Struthio camelus: one gene and its partner. The main gene of each other region encodes a partner of the protein of the gene in region 2 in a complex. Links are inferred from orthologs where the notes say so. Each region holds a gene or a part of one and is shown on either strand. Other genes may lie near its edges. The genes, in order: DKC1 and WRAP53.

Region 1 (10,516 bases), on a different chromosome or scaffold from region 2:
ACGTAACTTCTCCCAGGCACCACGCACCTATACCTTCTTCTAATGCTGTAAGAGCAACAAAGTTCTGGGGAACTCTCACAATTCCAAAATTGCTGGTTTATAAGTAGTCGCCACTCTACCTTCTCTCCCAGAATCCCTGAGCGCACTCTCCGGAGCTCTTGCATCTGGCCTCCAACACCCAGCAGCAAGCCAAGGTGAACACAGAGTGTTCGGATGTATGTGCCTGCTTCACAGCTCACCCAGAAGATACCTGAAACACAGGCCAGGCCAAGGGAAGAGCACTTAAACATATATCTAGAAATAAACCATGTCTAGAAGCTTTGTGTTTAGCCTCTCACAGAGCCATCAGCATTGGGTGATAGATGAAAGTCATCTTTGCACAGAGTGCTAATGCCATCTAGCTGACATCATTTGGCTCTTCAGTGGAGGACTCAGCTCTACTGACATATAAATGAGATTTGCTTCTCAGCGCACAGAACCAAGGCAAGAAGCAGCTACTGCTTGATCGTGGCAAGAATTTAACAGTCTTATGACATCTGCAAAGAATAGAAAGCAGCCCAATTCACAGGGAATTTATCAGCTGGTGGTTGAAAAGAGAGAAGACAGAGTGGTATTTTACCTAATCTTCTCTCAGGGTCATACTCCACTAGCTTGCTCTCATAGATGGTTCTGACTCTCAGTTGTCGCTTCACAGCAGCAATGAGGGGCGGTCGCTGAAACAGTGCGCCTGTCAGAGTTTCTATTGCCTGAGGGCAGAAGTAGAAGTAACAGGTCACACTTCTTCCATTAGCACATGTAATATAAAAATGCCTTGAGGTCTCCAGGCATTTGGACCACTTCCATGAGTGAGAACCCACAAGGTTCATCATCATCTGGCTACTTCACATTTTAAAAAGCCAAAATGAACCAGAGATGTGGTCAAAATACTGCCCCAGCTGTCAGTGAGGCATAGCTGGGCTTTTTTTTTTTAAAATCAGGTGGCAGTAGGTGATCAGACATCATCCCTCATCTTGGTGGGGACGGAGCCCCCACAGACAAGGGCTCCGACCCTGCCAGCACACCTCACTCCTGCAGGCAGTCAGCCACAGGCCCCAGCAGCCCCCAGTAGGACACTGGGAGACTGCAGGGTCTCTGGAGGCTGCACAGCACCCAGATCCTAGAACAGGAATCAGGGTGCTGCAGGAGGGCAGTGCCACTGCACTCAGAGAATGGATAAACTTCGTCATCACCTCACATACAAAACACACCTGAGTTCCATTCCTGCCGTCATCTCCCAGGGACGCTGAATGCTTTGCACTTCAAGCATCAGCATGGCTAACAGCGTGCAGAGACTTACCCTGGCCAGCTGGGCCTCACTTTCAATTGCATTGTGCAGCCGAACAATTCCCACATACTCTTTGCCTAAAAGGACGACAAGAGCAGTCAGGAGTGGCCACTTGCATTTAATGTTGACCTCAAGGTGCACACTGCTACATAGTGAAACATCTAGACAGCCCAACAGGTATCTTCACAACCACCTTTCCTAGACAGCACAAGCAATATGTTATGCAGTTGCTTATTCTTCCAACAGAAGAAAAAAAATCTAAGTTGCAGGCGTGTTTCTTCACCAAGTGTTGTTTGATTGAACTTGTAGACTGAGGCCACCTATAGCCATGAGTCCAGTTAACATACGAAACCAGTCACTCAGAAATGTTTTCCTTGACCTAAAACAGCATAAGACCCTGACAGGGAAAAACGATCAAAACACTTGCAATGGTATTGACATGGCCTCACTATAAACAACCCTCAAATTTAAGTCACTCAAGGTGAAGAGTAGCCCTTTTTGTAGGCAGGAATGGTAATCTCCAGCTTGTCTTCAGAAGAACTCTGCACTTCCCCAGTCACTTAGACTGTAAACAGTCCCAGGGTAGTAAACATACCTGCACTCTGCTGAGATTTGACCAGTCGTGTCGCCCTCTCAATGCACACAATCAGGCACCCAGTCACCTTAGGATCCAGAGTGCCACTATGTCCAGTCTTCTCCACTCGAAGGATGCGTCGGATCCATGCAACCACCTCGTGCGAAGATGGATTGGAAGGTTTGTCGAGGTTAATAAAGCCTGACCTAAAGTGCAAGATGACAGAGATCAGAAATTAAGCATCAGGGCAAACAGAGCAAGCAAAGAACCATTGATGACTTGTCACGTCTTCAAAAGAAAATATATTTCTAAATAAAGAGCCAAATAAGAGCCTACGACCACAGTTGCTCCCACTGAGACCACAAGGAGTTACTCTGCCCACAGCTCTTCCGAAAGGCAGGTCGTGTATTTCAAGATCAAGCAATTTTCATCTCTTCAGACGGCTGATCACTACTGAGTGCTTAAACTCAATCAAAATACTGCACACAAACTCCAAGCAGTCTCCACAACTGGCAGGCTGAAGGACTTTCCATAAGACCCCATTTGCACGCCTGCTGGCAGGCCAGCTGCTAACCCGGAACAAAGCAAACTTCACAAGAAGCGACCAGTGGGTCTATTTCCAGATTTACCGTTTAACAGCAAGGTACAAAGGCAAGTAGAAAGGTACACGAGGAACCTCAAAACACAAAACATCAGACAAAAGCGGTCACTGCCACTTATTTTCAGCTATCACCTTCACAAAATTACCTGAAGATATTAGCTCTGAAAGAAAGATATAAACACTCTTGCAGTTATTACACTCACCTAACGTAGTCAGAGATCTCTCTCTTCAGCGGATTAGCACCAGAAGGAAGGGGTGTGTAGTGTGCTGTCAACACATTTAACTTGTCAAAGTTCTACAAAATCCAAGCAAAAGTAAAACCATAAGTAGAACACTCTCGAGCTCGCTGTACTTCAGTTTCAACAGAGCTTTGCCCGAATGCGTTCCGCAATTACACGTTGTCTGATTAGTGTGTACGTAACTGGGACCACCTCTTCCAAAGTTAAAATGACCTAGGAATGCAATTGCAGAGTTGTTTTTTTTTTTGGAAAGAGAAGGGAAAAAAACCCTCCACAGGAAAAGATGTCAAAGTAGCAGAATGAAAAGCTTTAAAAACCAAAATAAAACCAGCATGCCTCAGCACCTCTGTACAAAGAGCTCAGGAGTTTACGTAGGCCATAGGCCACTCTCAGACCAAAATAAAGAATAGCTGAAAGAATCCTGTGCGGTCTTTACAAGAGACTAGAAACTTCAAGAGTAGTATGCAAACAATAAGGCTGGTCAAATTTTATAGCATGACTTCTGCAGGCAGTGGCTTAGCCTCTGCTTTGAGGGTCACATAAGCTGTTTTTTAGAGCAGACTACAAAACACCGAGGAGGAGCGTTGCATCTGTACGTGCACGCTTTGAGAAAGAGATCAAAAGAAAAAGCCCATTGACCCGCGCTACCTTCAACAGCAGCGGCCACTGCGACGTGTCCAGCTGGGCCACGCGGGACTCGGGTTTGATGAAGAACTCCTCCGTGTGCTGAATATCCTGAAAACGGACGAAAGGACACAAAATCAGAGAGCTGGGGCCGTGCTTCCGCCCGGCCACCGCGTGCCGCCTGCCGGGGCTACTCGCCCAGACCGAACAACGCCCGCTCTCTATTCGGTAATTTCTGCTTTAAAACGCTTTAACCGGTGCCGGGGACCGAGGGGTCACCGGGGCCGTGCCGAGGGGGGGCGGGAAGAGGCGGACACAGCGCGGGGCGCGACACCGGGGCCTCCCCGCGCCCGCCCCATCCCCCCCCGGCGGGCCCGACCCGGCCCGAGCAGGCCCCGGGGCACGGCGAGACGGGCCCAGCCGTGCCGGGGAGGGCAGCGGGCCGGCGGCGAGGGCTCACCGCGACGTCCGCGTCGGGGAGCGGCCGCTTCTCCTTCTTGCGCCGTTTCTTCACGCCGGAGCCTGCGGGAGACACGCGGTCAGCACCCCGCCACACCGGACCGGGCCGCGCGGGGCGGGGGCGGGCCGGGCCGCGCGGAGCCACGGCCTCTAGTTCCCCCCCGCCCCCGCACCGCCTCCGTCCTCCGCACAGCACCGGAGCCGCCGGGCGGCACGGGGCGGCCCCGCCAATACGCACCGTCCCCGTCCGCCATGGCCGCGCCGCGTGCTGCCGCCGCCGCGCAGAGACCGGAAGGACCGCCCCTTCCCGACGTGCCCCGCGCGGGCCAGCCGCGGGGGGCGGGGCCACGCAGCGAGGAGGGGGCAATAGAAAAGGGGCGGGGCTGTAGAGGAGGGGGCGGGGCAAGGGGAGCCACCACCCCCGGTAGCCGAGGGGCCGCCGCGCGTGGCCGCACCCGAAGGAAGAAGAGGCTGGAGGCCCGGAAAATAAAGTGCATAAAGAGGTCGTTTACTGTAATGCGAAGGGCAGGTCCGTGCCCTGGGCTCCCACAGGGCACCGCTTCCACCGGCTCACGCCGGCCCCGGCGGGGCGCACGGCCCCCCAGCGCGCTGCGGGCTGCACAGCGGCCAGCTCGGGGCCCCCACTGCCGCCGCCCCCCGCCCGGGGCTGTCGCACGCTGAGCCGGCTTCGCCCCGAGCGAGGGCAACAGGAACGGTCCCCGCAGAGGCTTTCGGCGACGAACACAGCTGCTCGGGGACCGTCGCGCAGGGCACGCTCCGGCCGGCCGGGAAAGGCGCCGGGGCCGCGGCTGCCCACGCCGACCGCGTCCTCCGCGCCCGCGGCAGCGCAGCGTCCCGGCGGGGCGTCCTGCAGCGCCAGAGGGTCCCGAGGCGAAACGCCCCGCGGTCGCGCAGCAAGAAGGACCCGCGTCCACGCGGCGCCGGGCCGAGCGGGCTGCGGCGGCCGCACAAGCGGGCCGAGCGGCGCCGGCTGCTGACGGGCTCCCCGCGCAGACCGGGCTCGCCGCAAGCAGCGTCTTCCCGCGGCCCACGCGCTCGCGGCGGCGCCCAGCGCCACGCCGGGACGGGCCTCCTCCGCGGCCGCACCGGGGCCGAGGCAGCAGGCACAAGGCCCCCGGGCGGCCGGGCCGGGCCCGGCCTCAGAGCCCCTGGCCCGAGGGGCTGGTCATCTCCTGCAGCACCAGGTGCAGCAGGTGGTTCTGCTCGGCGCTGAGCAGCGGCCAGAGCTCGGCCTGCAGCGCCTTGAGCGCCTCCAGGTCCTTCTCCTGGCAGGCCAGCACGGCCGACTGCAGCAGCAGGAAGAGCTCGGCCGGCAGGTAGCCCGCCGCCGCCGGCTGCCCGCCGCCCGGCCCGCTCTCCAGGGCCTCCCAGCAGTACTGCTCCAGCGTGCGCGCGTGCTCGGGCGGCAGCTTGGCCGGCGGCGGCTGCAGCAGCAGCAGCAGCAGCACCCGCGACACCTCGCAGCGCGCCAGCGCCTCGCGGAAGGCGCCGCCGCCGCCGCCCGCCCGCGCCAGCGCCTGCGCCCGCGTCAGCGCCGCCAGCGCGCCCGCGTAGTCGCGGCCCAGCAGCAGGCACGACGCCAGCTCGCCCAGGCAGCGCAGCGCCTCCAGCGGCAGCCGCGCCGCCGCCAGCAGCTCGGCGGCCCGCTGCAGGGCCGCGGCGGCGCGCGCCGGCCGGCCCGTGTCGCGCAGCGCCGCCGCCAGCTCCAGGCAGAGCCCGGCCGCCAGCGCCGGCTGCCCCCGCTCCAGGTGCAGGCGGGCGGCGAAGGCGCCGCAGCTCTGCGCCGCCGCCGCGTGCTCGCCGAAGCCGCCGCGCAGCGCCAGCCGCTGCCGCAGGTCCCGCTCCTGCCGCAGGAAGAGCCGCGCCGCCTCGGCCAGCGCCGCCGCCTCGGCCGGCCCGTGGAAGAGGCTCTGCGCGCAGCGCGCCACGGCCAGCTGGCACCAGGCCGCGTAGGGCAGGCTCTCCTGGGCGCGCAGCTCCCGCGCCAGCGCCGCGAACTGCTCCGCCGCCTCCGCCACGTTCGGCTTCCGCAGGAACCGCCGCCGCAGCTTGGCCGACACCAGCCGGTACCGCGACAGGAAGTCCCCGTCCCCCCCGCCGCCGCCGCCGCCGCCGCCGGGGCCCGGCCCGCCCGCCGAGCCGCCGCCGCCCGCCCCGCCGGGGCCCGCGCCGCCCGCCGCCGCCAGCATCGCCGCCACCGCCCGCGACCGACGCCGCGCCGCCCGCCGCGGCCAATGGGCGCCGGCTGCCGGGGCGCGTGGCCGGCGCGGCGGGGCCAATGGGCGCCGGCTCCCCGGGGCACGTGGCCGGCGCGGCGGGGCCAATGGGCGCCGGCTCCCCGGGGCACGTGGCCGGCGCGGCGGGGCCAATGGGCGCCGGCTCCCCGGGGCACGTGGCCGGCGCGGCGGGGCCAATGGGCGCCGGCTTCCTGGGGCACGTGGGCGGTGCGGCGGGGCCAACGGGCGCCGGCTTCCTGGCGCACCGCGGGAGGCGGTGGAGTAGGGGCGGGGCGGGGCGGGGGGGGCGGGGCGGGGCCGGCGGGGCGGGGCGGGGCGGGGCCCCGCCCTCGCCACGCCCTCGCCACGCCCTCGCCACGCCTTCGCGGGGCGGGGTCCGGCCAATCCTCCTGCTCCTGCTCCTGGCGACGGGTCCCCAGGGGGGACACGGGGCTGCGGCTGCGCTGTGCGGACCTGCTGGTCTCGCCCGTGTTGCTGTGGCTCCTCCTGCACCACCGGAGCCTCCGTTTCGTTGCGCTCACCTTCGCTCACATCACGGTGTCGCCTTCAGTTTGTCCTGATTCAGTCCCGTGCCAGTGTCGGCCGAAAAGCCTTCGTCTGTTTGCGGAGGTTGGACAGGGCCGTGGGGCGCGATGGAGGCCCCAAGGCCTGGCGGGCCGGGCGACGTGGTGCTGGGGCGGCTGCGCCGAAGCTCAGTCCCCTGGCCAGGACGCGGGGGCTGGACCTGCCGCCTCGGTGCTGGGCGGAAGGAGCCGGTCCACCCCGCTTCCCGCACGGAGGGAGCCGTCGGGAGCGCAGTGCGGGGCGAGCAGGCCTGCAGCCGCTGACCGCTGTGCGCTGAGCTGCTTGCCTTGACCGTAAAGGAAACAGGATATGGTACAGGGCACCGGCTTCCGAGAAGTGAGCATCAGCCCCTTCGGCCCTGCGGCTTTCTCTTGTAGAGCCGGAAACTTCCACGTGCTTTGCTGCCAACCCTCCCACCGCTGCCTGCCCCCGAGACCCACCACGAGCATCACAAGTCCCCATCTGCTCTCACCCTCACCGCACGCTGCTCCCCCCTGTGCAGGTACCACACACCCCTCTGATCCCAGGCGCCGCATGCGGGCCAGGTCCAGCGCTGGGCTGAGGTGAGGTCCCGCTCTCTGTGCTACTCTTAGTTTCCTCTGGCAGGAAGATGTCAAGAGACTCCACTTCATGAGGGGGAAACTTGACTGCAAGAGCTCACGGGGTTTCCTTCAAGCTGCATAGCGCACAGGTGCTCCGGTGTTGCGATGTTGAGACTTCTGAACCGCACGTTGTTTTTGCTTTGACTCTTGTTAGCGCTGATCAGAAGAGAACTGCTTTGTAACCTTTTCTTGCAGCTTTCCACAGGAAGAGCTTGGCTTTCGGCATTTCCCCCCACCCCCACTAAAAGGAAACATACCCCTCTCCCTTGCTCTTGGTGTGTTTATTAGCACTGATAACAGAAGGCAGCAAGTGTGTCTTCCCCTGAGCTTCAGGTGCTCCTTTGTAACAGAGCTAAAGTGAGATTCAGGGGTTGCTCCAGCCTCAACTGGAAAGATCAGAGAATTCAATCTTTAACAAAACATTTTATTCTCACAAGTATTCCTCAGGTGTTTGAATTAAGTAATTAATAAAGCAGTTCACAGTCTGAATGAAAATCCTCCCCAATGCTAATCGCCCAGGCTTTGCTTGCCAGGTGTGTGAATCAGTGTGTTTCTCCAAGCCTGCAGTCTTCTAAAAATAAGTGAACAGATGAGATGTGAGCATATGAAAGGGGGGGAAAAACCCCAACCAGGGAAATATCCTCTTCTTTGGGAAGAGGATGGGCAATGAAGAATAGTAAAGGCCAAAAACTTCCTTTTGAGTCAGTGCATAGTAACGGTGCTTGAGCTGGGGACATCAAAGTCAGCATCTCATTCTTGAGATTGAACATTGCTGGAGCAATGTTCCTGGCACGGTCCAAGCCAGAAACAAGTGCTGTGCAATGGTCAGGCGAGGAAGCTGCCAGTCCCATGTGAACATGCCAGTGAAATGGGCAAAGGAAAACAGCTAAAAGCAGCCCACAGTTGCCTGTTTGAATACACAGAAAAGTGAGGCTGACGCTGTGCTACAGGGACTGAGGTAAAAACAAGAGAAAAAAAGTGCCTGTTGTTTTAGTTTGAAGTTACAGGGGTTATAATGCTTGCCTGTTATCCAAGCCCGGCATTGCGTATCTCTGCACTCCATCATGGAGCCAAACATTCTTCTGCTCCCCAGTAATGCCCCAATGAGCTTTTCCCTCCCCCTTTCCCAATTCTTCTGCACTTCATCTTCTTTTCCCATTTCATGCTTTCTATAGTGTGGAGGTAGACAAGATCCACAGCAGATTCCCATTCCTGTTCTGCCCCTCACTACTTCTCCTCCCATCGAAGGAGCCTTTCTCTGTCCTGGGCCCTGTCCCTCCCCTTCCCTACGCTGGGTGGAGGTCCTAGGCCAAGGCTGTTTCTTCTGTGGCACACCCAGCCTTCATTCTTCCTAGGAAATAAGCTCTTCAGCTGTGTGAGCAGAGCTGGCATGGAAAACAGTAAGGCCTCAGCTATTCTTTTCTTCTTCATTTACCCCCATGGGTAGCACTAGCCCTGATGGTGCCAGTGGAGGAAACATGAAATGGTTCCAGTTTCTTCCTCTGTCTTCCTGGCAAGTCTCATTTGGTAAATACCAGCAGTCAGAGCAAATCCTTGACGAGATCATCCCATGCCTGAGACCTTGGTACCCACTGGAAGGCCTAGACTTCAGTCACAGACCTGCTGTAGCTCAGTCCTCCCTGGTTCCTTAGAAGAGCTCTCTTCAGCCTGCCCTGGATGGTGCAGAGCACAGCCCTCCGGAAGCTGCTAGACAGGGAAAAGAAGATCACTGGGTCAAGGCAGCTGTTGAGGGCTGAGATGCAGAGCACAAGCTCATTAGCGAGATGGAGACCCTGCTTCCAGGGCAGACTAGAAATGACCCCCACTTGCGCGAGGACATAAGGAATACGGACAATGTGATAGGGGGTGAAGCATACAATGAAGATGATGAGGACAACGAAGGTCTTGGTGATGGCTTTCATGCTAGTCCTCTTGTTCAGCTGCTGAGCATTCACTGAAGAGACTCTGTGGAGCCTGGCAAATATCTTGCTGTAGGAGTAAAGGAAGAGCAGTAGCAGGATAAAGAAAGTGGCTACTGCAACCATGTTAAAGGCTGCTGCCACAGTGCTTTTGCTCCTGAAGTGGAAGCATTTATGGTCACAGGGCCCTTTTCCTTTTGTCTCAAAAAAGAAAGGTAGCATGAAAGCTGAATGCACCAACCAAACCACCCCAGAGGCCATGGTGCTACAGGACATGGTGTGAATCTTAAACTTCTGGAGGGGCCGGATGATCTTCAGATAGCGGTCCAGGCTGATCAGGCTGAGGAACGTGATGCTGACGTACATGTTGAGATAGAAGAAGGCCCCGACAATGTTGCAGAAGATCCGGGGCTCACTCTTGTTTTGATAAGCTATGCGGAAGGGCAGGCAGAGGGAGAGCAACAGGTCGGACAGAGCCAGGTTCCTCATGTACACGGTGATGGAGGTCTTCCGCTGCACGCTGCACGAGAACACCCAGAGTGCAAGGGTGTTGCTAACCAGGCCAATGACGAAGATAAGGGAGTACATCACAGGGAGTGTCACAGACAGGAACTCATCTTGGATCTGACAGCAGGAATTGCTTCGTCTGTACTCCGTGACCTCGCTAGCAGGAAAGGGAGTGCTTAAAGAGTCCATCATCTAGAGGCTAGGACCTGTAAAGAGAAGTGCAGAGGGTGTTAGAACTGACATTTGCACAAACTGGCTCCACACAAGCATCATTCTCCTTATGATTTTATGGTATTTATGAAAGAGATGGCTCCATGGTACCTGAGTGCCCCAAGTCACTACAAACACAACCTTGCAGTCCTGCAAACTTTTATACAAAAGCCACCAGTGTGGCTAGTATGCAGAAAACCACACTGAGGACCTGGAAGCACAAGCCTGCACAGGTTGGCACGCTGGCTTTGGGCCAGGAAGTGGCACTGACTTCTTTCCCATGTGGTTCAGGCCCATAGGAAAACATGCCCACAAAGAATCTGTGTGTTAAGCACCGCTGAGAAAACAGGCACCTCTCCTCAGCAGGCTGGTCCGGGCAGCAGGCAGCGTTCTCTGGTCCCCGCTTTACTGACTGACTTTTCTCCTGGCTTCTTTCATGCTGTTCTGTGCTACCAGCTTTTAAGGAAGGATGTCAGACTAGACTGGCAGAAGTTGTCTGCTGTGTACTAGATAAGCACAGCCCAATCAATAGCAAAATCTGGGGTTCCTCAGGAGGGAAAACCACCTTTTGGTTGTACATGAGCTCTCTGGGTATAACAAACATGAATTCAGGTTCCGTGCAGGCAGACAATTAC
Region 2 (11,289 bases):
TGGGTGCATGTGTGTGCATGTGTGTGCAGGTGTGTGCAGGTGTGTGCAGGTGTGTGCATGTATGTGCAGGCGTGTGCAGGCGTGCGCATGTCTGTGCGGGCGGGTGCATGCGTGTGCATGTGTGCGCAGGCGTGTGCAGGCAGGTGCGTGTGTACGCAGGCGGGTGCAGGCATGTGCATGTCTGTGCAGGCGGGTGCATGCGTGTGCAGACCATTGCATGCATGTGCGTGCGTGTGCACACGCGTGTGCCGCCCTGACGCGGGGGGGCCCGGGGGGGCAGGTGCTCTTCACGGACGCCACCTTCGCCATGGGGCGTGTGCGTGCGTGTGCGGGCGTGTGCATGCGTGTGCGTGCGTGTGCACACGTGTGTGCCGCCCTGACGCGGGGGGGGCCCGGGGGGGCAGGTGCTGTTCACGGACGCCACCTTCGCCATGGGGCAGGTGCTGGAGCGGGTGCAGGCGTGTGCATGCGTGTGCAGGCGTGTGCAGGCGTGTGCGTGCGTGTGCGTGCGTGTGCACACGCGTGTGCCGCCCTGACGCGGGGGGGCCCGGGGGGCAGGTGCTGTTCACGGACGCCACCTTCGCCATGGGGCAGGTGCTGGAGCGGGTGCAGGCGTGTGCATGCGTGTGCGTGCGTGTGCGTGCATGTGCGTGCGTGTGCGTGCGTGTGCGTGCGTGTGCACACGCGTGTGCCGCCCTGACGCGGGGGGGCCCGGGGGGGCAGGTGCTGTTCACGGACGCCACCTTCGCCATGGGGCGGGTGCTGGAGCGGGTGCAGGCGTGTGCAGGCGTGTGCATGCGTGTGCGTGTGTGTGCGTGCGTGTGCGTGCGTGTGCAGGCGTGTGCGTGCGTGTGCAGGCGGGTGCAGGCGTGTGCGTGCGTGTGCGTGCGTGTGCAGGCGTGTGCGTGCGTGTGCACACGCGTGTGCCGCCCTGACGCGCGGGGGGGCCCGGGGGGGCAGGTGCTGTTCACGGACGCCACCTTCGCCATGGGGCAGGTGCTGGAGCGGGTGCAGGCGTGTGCAGGCGTGTGCGTGCGTGTGCAGGCGGGTGCAGGCGTGTGCGTGCGTGTGCGTGCGTGTGCAGGCGTGTGCGTGCGTGTGCACACGCGTGTGCCGCCCTGACGCGCGGGGGGGCCGGGGGGCAGGTGCTGTTCACGGACGCCACCTTCGCCATGGGGCAGGTGCTGGAGCGGGTGCAGGCGTGTGCGGGCGTGTGCGTGCGTGTGCAGGCGTGTGCGTGCGTGTGCACACGCATGTGCCGGCCCTGACGCGCGGGGGGGCCCGGGGGGGCAGGTGCTGTTCACGGACGCCACCTTCGCCATGGGGCAGGTGCTGGAGCGGGTGCAGGCGTGTGCGTGCGTGTGCGTGCGTGTGCAGGCGTGTGCGTGCGTGTGCGTGCGTGTGCGTGCGTGTGCACACGCGTGTGCCGCCCTGACGCGGGGGGGCCGGGGGGGCAGGTGCTGTTCACGGACGCCACCTTCGCCATGGGGCAGGTGCTGGAGCGGGTGCAGGCGTGTGCGGGCGTGTGCGTGCGTGTGCAGGCGTGTGCGTGCGTGTGCACACGCATGTGCCGGCCCTGACGCGCGGGGGGGCCCGGGGGGGCAGGTGCTCTTCACGGACGCCACCTTCGCCATGGGGCAGGTGCAGGCGTGTGCATGCGTGTGCGTGCGTGTGCGTGCGTGTGCGTGCGTGTGCAGGCGTGTGCGTGCGTGTGCGTGCGTGTGCACACGCGTGTGCCGCCCTGACGCGGGGGGGCCCGGGGGGGCAGGTGCTCTTCACGGACGCCACCTTCGCCATGGGGCAGGTGCAGGCGTGTGCATGTCTGTGCATGCGTGTGTGTGCGTGTGCGGGCGTGTGCGAGCGTGTGCACACGCGTGTGCCGCCCTGACGCGGGGGGGCCCGGGGGGGCAGGTGCTCTTCACGGACGCCACCTTCGCCATGGGGCAGGTGCTGGAGCGGGTGCAGGCGTGTGCATGCGTGTGCGTGCGTGTGCGTGCGCGTGCGTGCGTGTGCGTGCGTGTGCGTGCGTGTGCACACGCGTGTGCCGCCCTGACGCGGGGGGGCCCGGGGGGGCAGGTGCTGTTCACGGACGCCACCTTCGCCATGGGGCAGGTGCTGGAGCGGGGCGGCCGCCCGGGGCCCCCCCAGGCGCTGCTCCGCTGCGTGCGCAGCATGGCCGCCCCCCCCCGCGCCCAGGCCTCCTGCTACACCGCCGGTACCCCCCCGGCGCGGGGGGCACTGGGGGGCACTGGGGGGGACTGGGAGGGACTGGGAGCACTGGGGGGGCTGGGGGGGACTGGGGGGGACTGGGAGCACTGGGGGGGCTGGGGGGGACTGGGAGCACTGGGGGGCAATGGGGGGGATGGGGGCACTGGGGGGCACTGGGGGGGATGGGGGCACTGGGGGGCACTGGGGGGGCTGGGGGCGATGGTGGGGCTGGGGGGGATGGGGGGATGGGGGGATGGGGGGCACTGGGGGGACTGGGAGCACTGGGGGGGTTGGGGGGGTTGGGGGGGCTGGGGGGACTGGGGGCACTGGGGAAACTGGGGGGAACTGGGGGGGACTGGGGGGGCGCTGGGAGCACTGGGAGCACTGGGGGGGCTGGGGGGGGTTGGGGGCACTGGGGGGACTGGGGGCACTGGGGAAACTGGGGGGAACTGGGGGGGACTGGGGGGGCGCTGGGAGCACTGGGAGCACTGGGGGGACTGGGGGGGCTGGGGGGGCTGGAGGGCACTGGGGGCACTGGGGGGGCTGGGGGCACTGGGAGCACTGGGAGCACTGGGGGGCACTGGGGAGGGGGCAGAGATCACCCCTAACCATGTGTCCCCCCCCCCGTCCTATGTCTCCCCCGTGTCCCTGTGGCGTGTGCATGGCGTGCGCATGGCGTGTGCATGGCGTGCGCGTGGTGTGCATGTGGCATGGCGTGGCGTGTGCATGGCGTGCGCGTGGCGTGCATGTGGCGTGCGCGTGGCGTGTGCATGGCGTGCGCGTGGCGTGTGCATGGCATGTGCGTGGCGTGTGCATGGCGTGTGCATGGCGTGTGCGTGGCGTGTGCATGGCGTGTGCGTGGTGTGCGCGTGGCGTGTGCGTGGCGTGTGCGTGGCGTGCGCGTGGCGTGTGCGTGGTGTGCGCGTGGCGTGTGCGTGGCGTGTGCGTGGCGTGTGCATGGCGTGTGCATGGCGTGTGCGTGGCGTGCGCGTGGCATGCACGTGGCGTGCGCGTGGCGTGTGCATGGCGTGTGCGTGGCGTGTGCGTGGCGTGCGCGTGGCGTGTGCATGGCGTGGCGTGGCGTGCGCGTGGCGTGCACGTGGCGTGCGCGTGGCGTGTGCGTGGCGTGTGCGTGGCGTGTGCGTGGCGTGCACGTGGTGTGTGCATGGCGTGCGCGTGGCGTGTGCATGGCGTGCGCGTGGCGTGTGCGTGGCGTGTGCGTGGCGTGCGCGTGGCGTGTGCATGGCGTGTGCGTGGCGTGTGCGTGGCGTGCGAATGGCGTGTGTGTGGCGTGTGCATGGCGTGCGCGTGGCGTGTGCATGGCGTGTGCGTGGCGTGTGCGTGGCGTGTGCGTGGCGTGTGCATGGCGTGCGCGTGGCGTGTGCGTGGCGTGCGCGTGGCGTGTGCGTGGCGTGTGCGTGGCGTGCGAATGGCGTGTGCATGGCGTGTGTGTGGCGTGTGCGTGGCGTGTGCGTGGCGTGCAAATGGCGTGTGCGTGGCGTGTGCGTGGCGTGTGCGTGGCGTGCGCGTGGCGTGTGCATGGCGTGTGCGTGGCGTGTGCATGGCGTGTGCGTGGTGTGTGCGTGGCGTGGCGTGGCGTGCGCGTGGCGTGCGCGTGGCGTGTGCGTGGTGTGTGCGTGGCGTGCGCGTGGTGTGTGCGTGGCGTGTGCGTGGCGTGCGCGTGGTGTGCGCGTGGCGTGCGCGTGGTGTGTGCGTGGCGTGCACGTGGTGTGCGCGTGGCGTGCGCGTGGCGTGTGCATGGCGTGTGCGTGGCGTGCGCGTGGCGTGTGCGTGGCGTGTGCGTGGTGTGCGCGTGGCGTGCGCGTGGCGTGTGCATGGCGTGTGCGTGGCGTGCGCGTGGCGTGTGCGTGGCGTGCACGTGGTGTGCGCGTGGCGTGCGCGTGGCGTGTGCATGGCGTGTGCGTGGCGTGCGCGTGGCGTGTGCATGGCGTGTGCGTGGCGTGCGCGTGGTGTGTGCGTGGCATGTGCGTGGCGTGCGCGTGGCGTGTGCGTGGCGTGTGCGTGGCGTGTGCGTGGCGTGTGCGTGGCGTGCGCGTGGCGTGTGCATGGCGTGCGCGTGGCGTGCGCATGGCGTGCGCGTGGCGTGTGCGTGGCGTGGCGTGTGCGTGGCGTGTTGCAGGCGTGTTCCGGCTGCGCAGCGGCGACCGCCTGCGCCTGCGGGTGCCGCGGGCCAACGCCTCCTTCGACCTCAGCGCCCACGGCACCTTCCTGGGCATCGTCCGCCTCTAGCGCCGGCGGCCCGGGGCCCCGGCGTCCGGGCAGCACAGGGGCCCCGGCGTCCGGGCAGCACAGGGGCCCCGGCGTCCAGCCACGAGGGGCCCCGGCGTCCGGGCAGCACAGGGCCCCGGCGTCCGGGCAGCACAGGGGCCCCGGCGTCCAGCCACGAGGGGCCCCGGCGTCCGGGCAGCACAGGGCCCCGGCGTCCGGCCACGAGGGGCCCCGGCGTCCGGGCAGCACAGGGGCCCCGGCGTCCGGCCACGAGGGGCCCCGGCGTCCGGGGAATGAGGGGTCCCGGCATCCGGGCATGAGGGGCCCCGGCGTCCGGGCAGCACAGGGGCCCCGGCGTCCGGGCAGCATAGGGCCCCGGCGTCCGGCCACGAGGGGCCCCGGCGTCCGGGCAGCACAGGGGCCCCGGCGTCCGGCCACGACGGGCCCCGGCGTCCGGGCAGCACAGGGGCCCCGGCGTCCGGCCACGACGGGCCCCGGCGTCCGGGCAGCACAGGGGCCCCGGCGTCCGGCCACGACGGGCCCCGGCGTCCGGGCAGCACAGGGGCCCCGGCGTCCGGGCAGCACAAGGGCCCCAGCGTCCGGCCACGAGGGGCCCCGGCGTCCGGGCAGCACAGGGGCCCCGGCGTCCGGGGAATGAGGGGTCCCAGCGTCCGGGCATGAGGGGCCCCGGCGTCCGGGCAGCAACGAGGGGCCCTGGCGTCCGGGCACCATGGCGACCCCCCATCACTGCTCCACCATCTTCCCCCACCCGGACGCCTGGGCCCCCCATTGCCTGTGTGTGGGGGTTGGGGGGGGTGTCGCTCCCCGGACGCCTGGGCCCCCCGGACACCTGGGCCCCCCTGTTGTCTGTGGGGGTGGGTGGGGGGGGAGTCGCTCCCCGGACGCCTGGGCCCCCCGAACGCCTGGGCCCCCCTGTTGTCTGTGGGGGGGGGTCGCTCCCTGGACGCCTGGGCCCCCCGGACGCCTGGGCCCCCCTGTTGTCTGTAGGGGGGGGTCGCTCCCTGGACGCCTGGGCCCCCCGGACGCCTGGGCCCCCCTGTTGTCTGTGGGGGGGGGATCGCTCCCCGGACGCCTGGGCCCCCCGGACGCCTGGGCCCCCCGTTGTCTGTGTGGGTGGGTGGGGGGGGGCGTCACTCCCCGGACGCCTGGGCCCCCCCATTGTCTGTGTGTATTGGTGGGGGGGGGGTCGCTCCCCGGACGCCTGGGCCCCCCGGACACCTGGGCCCCTCCGTTGTCTGTGTGGGTGGGTGGGGGGGGTCACTCCCCGGACGCCTGAGCCCCCCGGACGCCTGGGCCCCCCTGTTGTCTGTGTGGGTGGGTGGGGGGGGGGTCGCTCCCCGGACGCCTGGGCCCCCCTGTTGTCTGTGTGGGTGGGTGGGGGGGGGGTCGCTCCCCGGACGCCTGGGCCCCCCTGTTGTCTGTGTGGGTGGGTGGGGGGGGCGTCACTCCCCGGACGCCTGGGCCCCCCCCAACCCCGCACCAAGCTGCAGCCAAGCAACGAAACCTCGCGAGACTTCGCCGAAACTCTCGCGAGCGCCGGCGCGTGACGTCATCGAGCCGCGCGGCGGGGCGAGGGGGGGAGGGGGCGCGACGTCTCGCGAGATTCTCAGCCAATAAACGCGCCCGAGGCCGCTCCGCTCTCGCGAGATTCGCGCGCGGTGCCTGCCGGGAGGGGCGGGGCCTCGGCTGTCATGGCGGCCCCCATGGAGGAAGGTGTGTGTGGGGGGGGATTCCGGACTCCTGGGCCCCTGGTGGGGGGGAGGGGGGTCCCGGACGCCTGGGCCCTCGGTGGGGGGGAGGGGGGTCCCGGACGCCTGGGCCCCCGGTGGAGGGGGGGGGTCCCGGACGCCTGGGCCCCCTGGGGAGGGTGTGAGGGGGTCCCGGACGCCTGGGCCCCCGGTGGAGGCGGGGGGTCCCGGACGCCTGGGCCCTCGGTGGAGGGGGGGGGGTCCCGGACGCCTGGGCCCTCGGTGGGGGAGAGGGGGGGTTCCCGGACGCCTGGGCCCGTAGCCATACTGACCCCCCCCCCCGCAGCCTCCGACAACCCCCCCGCCGAGGGGGGGGGCCCCGCGGAGCCCCAGGAGCCCGAGGAGGAGCTGTGAGTGCCCCGGACGCCTGGGCCCCCTGGGGGGGGTGTGAGGGGGTCCCGGACACCTGGGCCCCCTGTGTGTGTGGGGGGGGGGTCCCGGACGCCTGGGCCCCCTGGGGGTGTGTGTGTGGGTGGGGTCCCGGACGCCTGGGCCCCCTGGGGGTGTGGGGGGGGGGGTCCCGGACGCCTGGGCCCCCTGAGGGTGTGTGTGGGGGGGGTCCCGGACGCCTGGGCCCCCTGGGGGTGTGTGTGTGGGTGGGGTCCCGGACGCCTGGGCCCCCTGAGGGTGTGTGTGGGGGGGGGGGTCCCGGACGCCTGGGCCCCCTGAGGGTGTGTGTGTGGGGGGGGTCCCGGACGCCTGGGCCCCCTGAGGGTGTGTGGGGGGGGGGGTCCCGGACGCCTGGGCCCCCTGAGGGTGTGTGTGGGGGGGGTCCCGGACGCCTGGGCCCCCTGGGGGTGTGTGTGTGGGTGGGGTCCCGGACGCCTGGGCCCCCTGAGGGTGTGTGTGTGGGGGGGTCCCGGACGCCTGGGCCCCCTGGGGGTGCGTGTGGGGGGGGGTCCCGGACGCCTGGGCCCCCTGGGGGTGCGTGTGGGGGGGGGGTCCCGGACGCCTGGGCCCCCGGGGAGGGTTGAGGGGGGTCCCGGACACCTGGCCCCTCGGTGTAGGGGGGGGTCCCGGACGCCTGGGCCCCCTGAGGTTGTGTGTGTGTGGGGGGGGTCCCGGACGCCTGGGCCCCCTGAGGGTGTGTGTGTGGGGTCCCGGACGCCTGGGCCCCCGGGGATGGTTGAGGGGGGTCCCGGACACCTGGGCCCTCGGTGTTGGGGGGGTCCCGGACGCCTGGGCCCCGCAGGCCGCCCCCCGCGGAGCTGCAGCGCCCGCCGCGGCTGGTGGCGGAGGCGCGGCAGGAGTACGGCCGCCGGCCCGAGAACTTCCTCAAGGGCTGCAAGTGGTGAGCCGGACGCCTGGGCCCCTCGTGGGGGCGGGGGGGGGCGCGGCCGGGGACGCCTGGGCCCCTCGTGGGGGCTGGAGGGGTTCCCCGAGCCCGCCCGGACGCCTGGGCCCCTGGGGGGTGTGGGGGGGCTGGAGAGAGCCCTCCCGGACGCCTGGGCCCCTGGGGGGTGTGGGGGGGCTGGAGAGAGCCCTCCCGGACGCCTGGGCCCCTGGGGGGTGTGGGGGGGCTGGAGGGAGCCCTCCCGGACACCTGGGCCCCTGGGGGGTGTGGGGGGGGCTGGAGAGGTTCCCCGAGCCCGCCCGGACGCCTGGGCCCCTGGGGGGGGGTGGAGGGGTGCCGCGAGCCCGCCCGGACGCCTGGGCCCCTGGGGGGTGTGGGGGGGGCTGGAGGGGTGCCGCGAGCCCGCCCGGACGCCTGGGCCCCTGGGGGGTGTGGGGGGGGGCTGGAGGGGTGCCGCGAGCCCGCCCGGACGCCTGGGCCCCTGGGGGTTGTGGGGGGGGGCTGGAGGGGTGCTGCGAGCCCGCCCGGACGCCTGGGCCCCTGGGGGTTGTGGGGGGGAGCTGGAGGGGTGCCGCGAGCCCGCCCGGACGCCTGGGCCCCGCAGGGCCCCCGACGGCTCCTGCCTGCTGACGTGCAGCAACGACAACACCCTGCGCATCTACGACCTGCCGCCCGCCCTGGGGGGGGGCCCGGGGGGGGCCCTGCCCGAACTGGTACCCGTCCGGGGGGGGTCCGGGGGGTCTTTGTGGGTCCTTGGGGGGGACTCTGGGGGGTCCTGGGGGCAACGGGGGGGGCCCAGGGGGTATTTAGGGGTGTTTGGGGGGGTCCCAAGGATGTGGGGGGGGTCCCAGGGGTGTTGGGGGGGTATTTTGGGGTATTTGGGGGGGTCTGGGGTGTTGGGGGGGGTCCCAGGGGTGTTGGGGGGGTCTCTGGGGTGTTTGGGGGGGTCCCAGGAGGTATTTGGGGGTCTGGGGCGTTGGGGGGGGGTCCCAAGGCGTTTGGGGGGAGTCCAAGGGGGTATTTGGGGGGTATTTGGGGGATGTTTGGGGGGTCCTGGGGGTGTTTGGGGGTGTTTGGGGTGTGTTTGGGGGGTCCTGGGGGTATTTGGGGGTCTCTGGGGTATTTGGGGGATGTTTGGGGGGTCCTGGGGGTGTCTGGGGGGGTCACAGGGGTGTTGGGGGGGGTCTCTGGGGTGTTTGGGGGGTGTTTGGGGGGGGTCCTGGGGGTATTTGGGCGTCTCTGGGGTATTTGGGGGATGTTTGGGGGGTCCCGGGGGTGTCTGGGGAGGGTCACAGGGGTGTTGGGGGGTCTCTGGGGTGTTTGGGGGGTGTTTTGGGGTCCCGGGGGTTGTTTGGGGGGGTCCCGTGGGCCTCTGGGGGGTCCCTGGGGGCCGTGGGGGGGGGGGGGGCCGGGCGAGGGACCCAGGCGTCCGGGCGCAGGTGCCGGCGCTGCGGGTGCCGGAGGGCGACACCGTCTACGACTACTGCTGGCTGCCGGGGATGAGCTCGGCCCGGCCCCCCTCCTGCCTGTGAGCACTGGGGGCACTGGGAGCACTGGGGGAGCCCACTGGTGGTTACTGGGAGCCCTGGGGGGGCACTGGAAGCACTGGTGGGGGTGGCGTGGGGAGTGCGGGGGGCACTGGGAGCACTGGGGGAGCCCACTGGTGGTTACTGGGAGCCCTGGGGGGGCACTGGTAGTTACTGGGAGCCCTGGGGGGTCACTGGGAGCACTGGGTGGGGTGGCGTGGGGAGTGCGGGGGGCACTGGGAGCACTGGGGGAGCCCACTGGTAGTTACTGGGAGCCCTGGGCGGGCACTGGTAGTTACTGGGAGCCCTGGGGGGGCACTGGGAGCCCTGGGTGGGGTGGCGTGGGGAGTGCGGGGGGCACTGGGAGCACTGGGGAAGCCCACTGGTAGTTACTGGGAGCCCTGGGGGGGCACTGGTAGTTACTGGGAGCCCTGGGGGGGCACTGGGAGCACTGGGTGGGGTGGCGTGGGGAGTGTGGGGGGCACTGGGAGCACTGGGGGAGCCCACTGGTGGTTACTGGGAGCCCTGGGGGGTCACTGGGAGCACTGGGTGGGGTGGCGTGGGGAGTGCGGGGGGCACTGGGAGCACTGGGGGAGCCCACTGGTAGTTACGGGGAGCACTGGGGAGGTTGCTGGGAGCACTGGAGTTACTGGGAGCACTGGGAGGCTCACTGGGGGGTCACTGGGAGCACTGGGGAAGCCCACTGATAGTTACTGGAAGCACTGGGGGGTCTCTGGTAGTTACTGGGAGCCCTGCGGGGGCACTGGGAGCACTGGGGGGGGTGGCGTGGGGAGTGCGGGGGTCACTGGGAGCACTGGGGGCACTGGGGGAGCCCACTGGTGGTTAGTGGGAGCACTGGGGGGCCATTGGGAGTACTAGGGAGGTTACTGGGAGCGCTGGAGTTACTGGGAGTACTGGGAGAGTCATTGGGGGTCACTGGGAGCACTGGGGAGGGCACTGGTGGGGGTTACTGGGAGCACTGGCCATACTGGCAGCCCTGAGGAGGGCACTGGGGGGGGGTAACTGGGAGCCTTGGGGGAGCACTGGGAGTTACGGGGAGCCCTGGGGAAGGGGGAACTGGGAGCCCTGGGGGGGCACTGGGAGTTACTGGGAGTACTGGGGGGGGGGTCACTGGGGCTTACTGGGAGCACTGGGGCGCAGGGTGGCCAGCAGCAGCCGGGACAACCCCGTGCACCTCTGGGACGCCTTCGACGGGAGCCTGCGCGGCTCCTTCCGCGCCTACAACCACCTGGTGAGGGGGGGCCCAGGCGTCCGGGGGGCCCAGGCGTCCGGGGGGGCGGCGGGGGGGCTCCTTCCGCGCCTACAACCACCTGGTGAGGGGGGGCCCAGGCGTCCGGGGGGCCCAGGCGTCCGGGGGGCGGCGGGGGGGGCTCCTTCCGCGCCTACGACCACCTAGTGAGGGGGGGCCCAGGCGTCCGGGGGGCCCAGGCGTCCGGGGGGTGGCGGGGGGGGCTCCTTCTGCGCCTACGACCACCTGGTGCGGGCGGGCCCAGGCGTCCGGGGGGCCCAGGCGTCCGGGGGGCGGCGGGGGGGGCTCCTTCCGCGCCTACGACCACCTGGTGAGGGGGGGCCCAGGCGTCCGGGGGGCCCAGGCGTCCGGGGGGGCGGCGGGGGGGGCTCCTTCCGCGCCTACGACCACCTAGTGAGGGGGGGCCCAGGCGTCCGGGGGGCCCAGGCGTCCGGGGGGCGGCGGGGGGGGCTCCTTCCGCGCCTACGACCACCTAGTGAGGGGGGGCCCAGGCGTCCGGGGGGCGGCGGGGGGGGCTCCTTCCGCGCCTACGACCACCTGGTGAGGGGGGGCCCAGGCGTCCGGGGGGCCCAGGTGTCCGGGGGGCGGCGGGGGGGGCTCCTTCCGCGCCTACGACCACCTGGTGAGGGGGGGCCCAGGCGTCCGGGGGGCCCAGGCGTCCGGGGGGGCGGCGGGGGGGGCTCCTTCCGCGCCTACGACCACCTAGTGAGGGGGGGCCCAGGCGTCCGGGGGGCCCAGGCGTCCGGGGGGCGGCGGGGGGGGCTCCTTCCGCGCCTACGACCACCTAGTGAGGGGGGGCCCAGGCGTCCGGGGGGCCCAGGCGTCCGGGGGGCGGCGGGGGGGGCTCCTTCCGCGCCTACGACCACCTAGTGAGGGGGGGCCCAGGCGTCCGGGGGGCCCAGGCGTCCGGGGGGTGGCGGGGGGGGCTCCTTCTGCGCCTACGACCACCTGGTGCGGGCGGGCCCAGGCGTCCGGGGGGCCCAGGCGTCCGGG

Evidence for each region.
Region 1: WRAP53 (region 2) and DKC1 share a complex: the UniProt entries of both Homo sapiens proteins name them as parts of the telomerase holoenzyme complex. The link is inferred for Struthio camelus from reciprocal best matches to the Homo sapiens genes WRAP53 and DKC1.

Annotation. Positions count from the first base shown.
Region 1 is NC_090952.1:25,979,052-25,989,567, forward strand, and holds the start of DKC1 (H/ACA ribonucleoprotein complex subunit DKC1), read right to left. Parts: upstream 4,189-10,516; 5' UTR 4,076-4,188; coding exon 4,060-4,075; intron 3,885-4,059; coding exon 3,823-3,884; intron 3,474-3,822; coding exon 3,387-3,473; intron 2,795-3,386; coding exon 2,703-2,794; intron 2,105-2,702; coding exon 1,920-2,104; intron 1,402-1,919; coding exon 1,337-1,401; intron 1,235-1,336; exon of another isoform or gene 988-1,234; intron 747-987; coding exon 620-746; intron 417-619; exon of another isoform or gene 341-416; intron 251-340; coding exon 120-250; intron 1-119. Other genes in the region: 40-kDa huntingtin-associated protein-like, read right to left, coding at 4,982-6,031; probable G-protein coupled receptor 34, read right to left, coding at 8,847-9,863.
Region 2 is NW_027182724.1:70,073-81,361, reverse strand, and holds the start of WRAP53 (telomerase Cajal body protein 1), read left to right. Parts: upstream 1-6,114; 5' UTR 6,115-6,149; coding exon 6,150-6,171; intron 6,172-6,492; coding exon 6,493-6,556; intron 6,557-7,398; coding exon 7,399-7,497; intron 7,498-8,104; coding exon 8,105-8,213; intron 8,214-8,939; coding exon 8,940-9,028; intron 9,029-10,187; coding exon 10,188-10,278; intron 10,279-11,289. Other genes in the region: uncharacterized protein, read left to right, coding at 2,077-2,215, 4,349-4,458. UniProt on the Homo sapiens protein: RNA chaperone that plays a key role in telomere maintenance and RNA localization to Cajal bodies. Specifically recognizes and binds the Cajal body box (CAB box) present in both small Cajal body RNAs (scaRNAs) and telomerase RNA template component (TERC).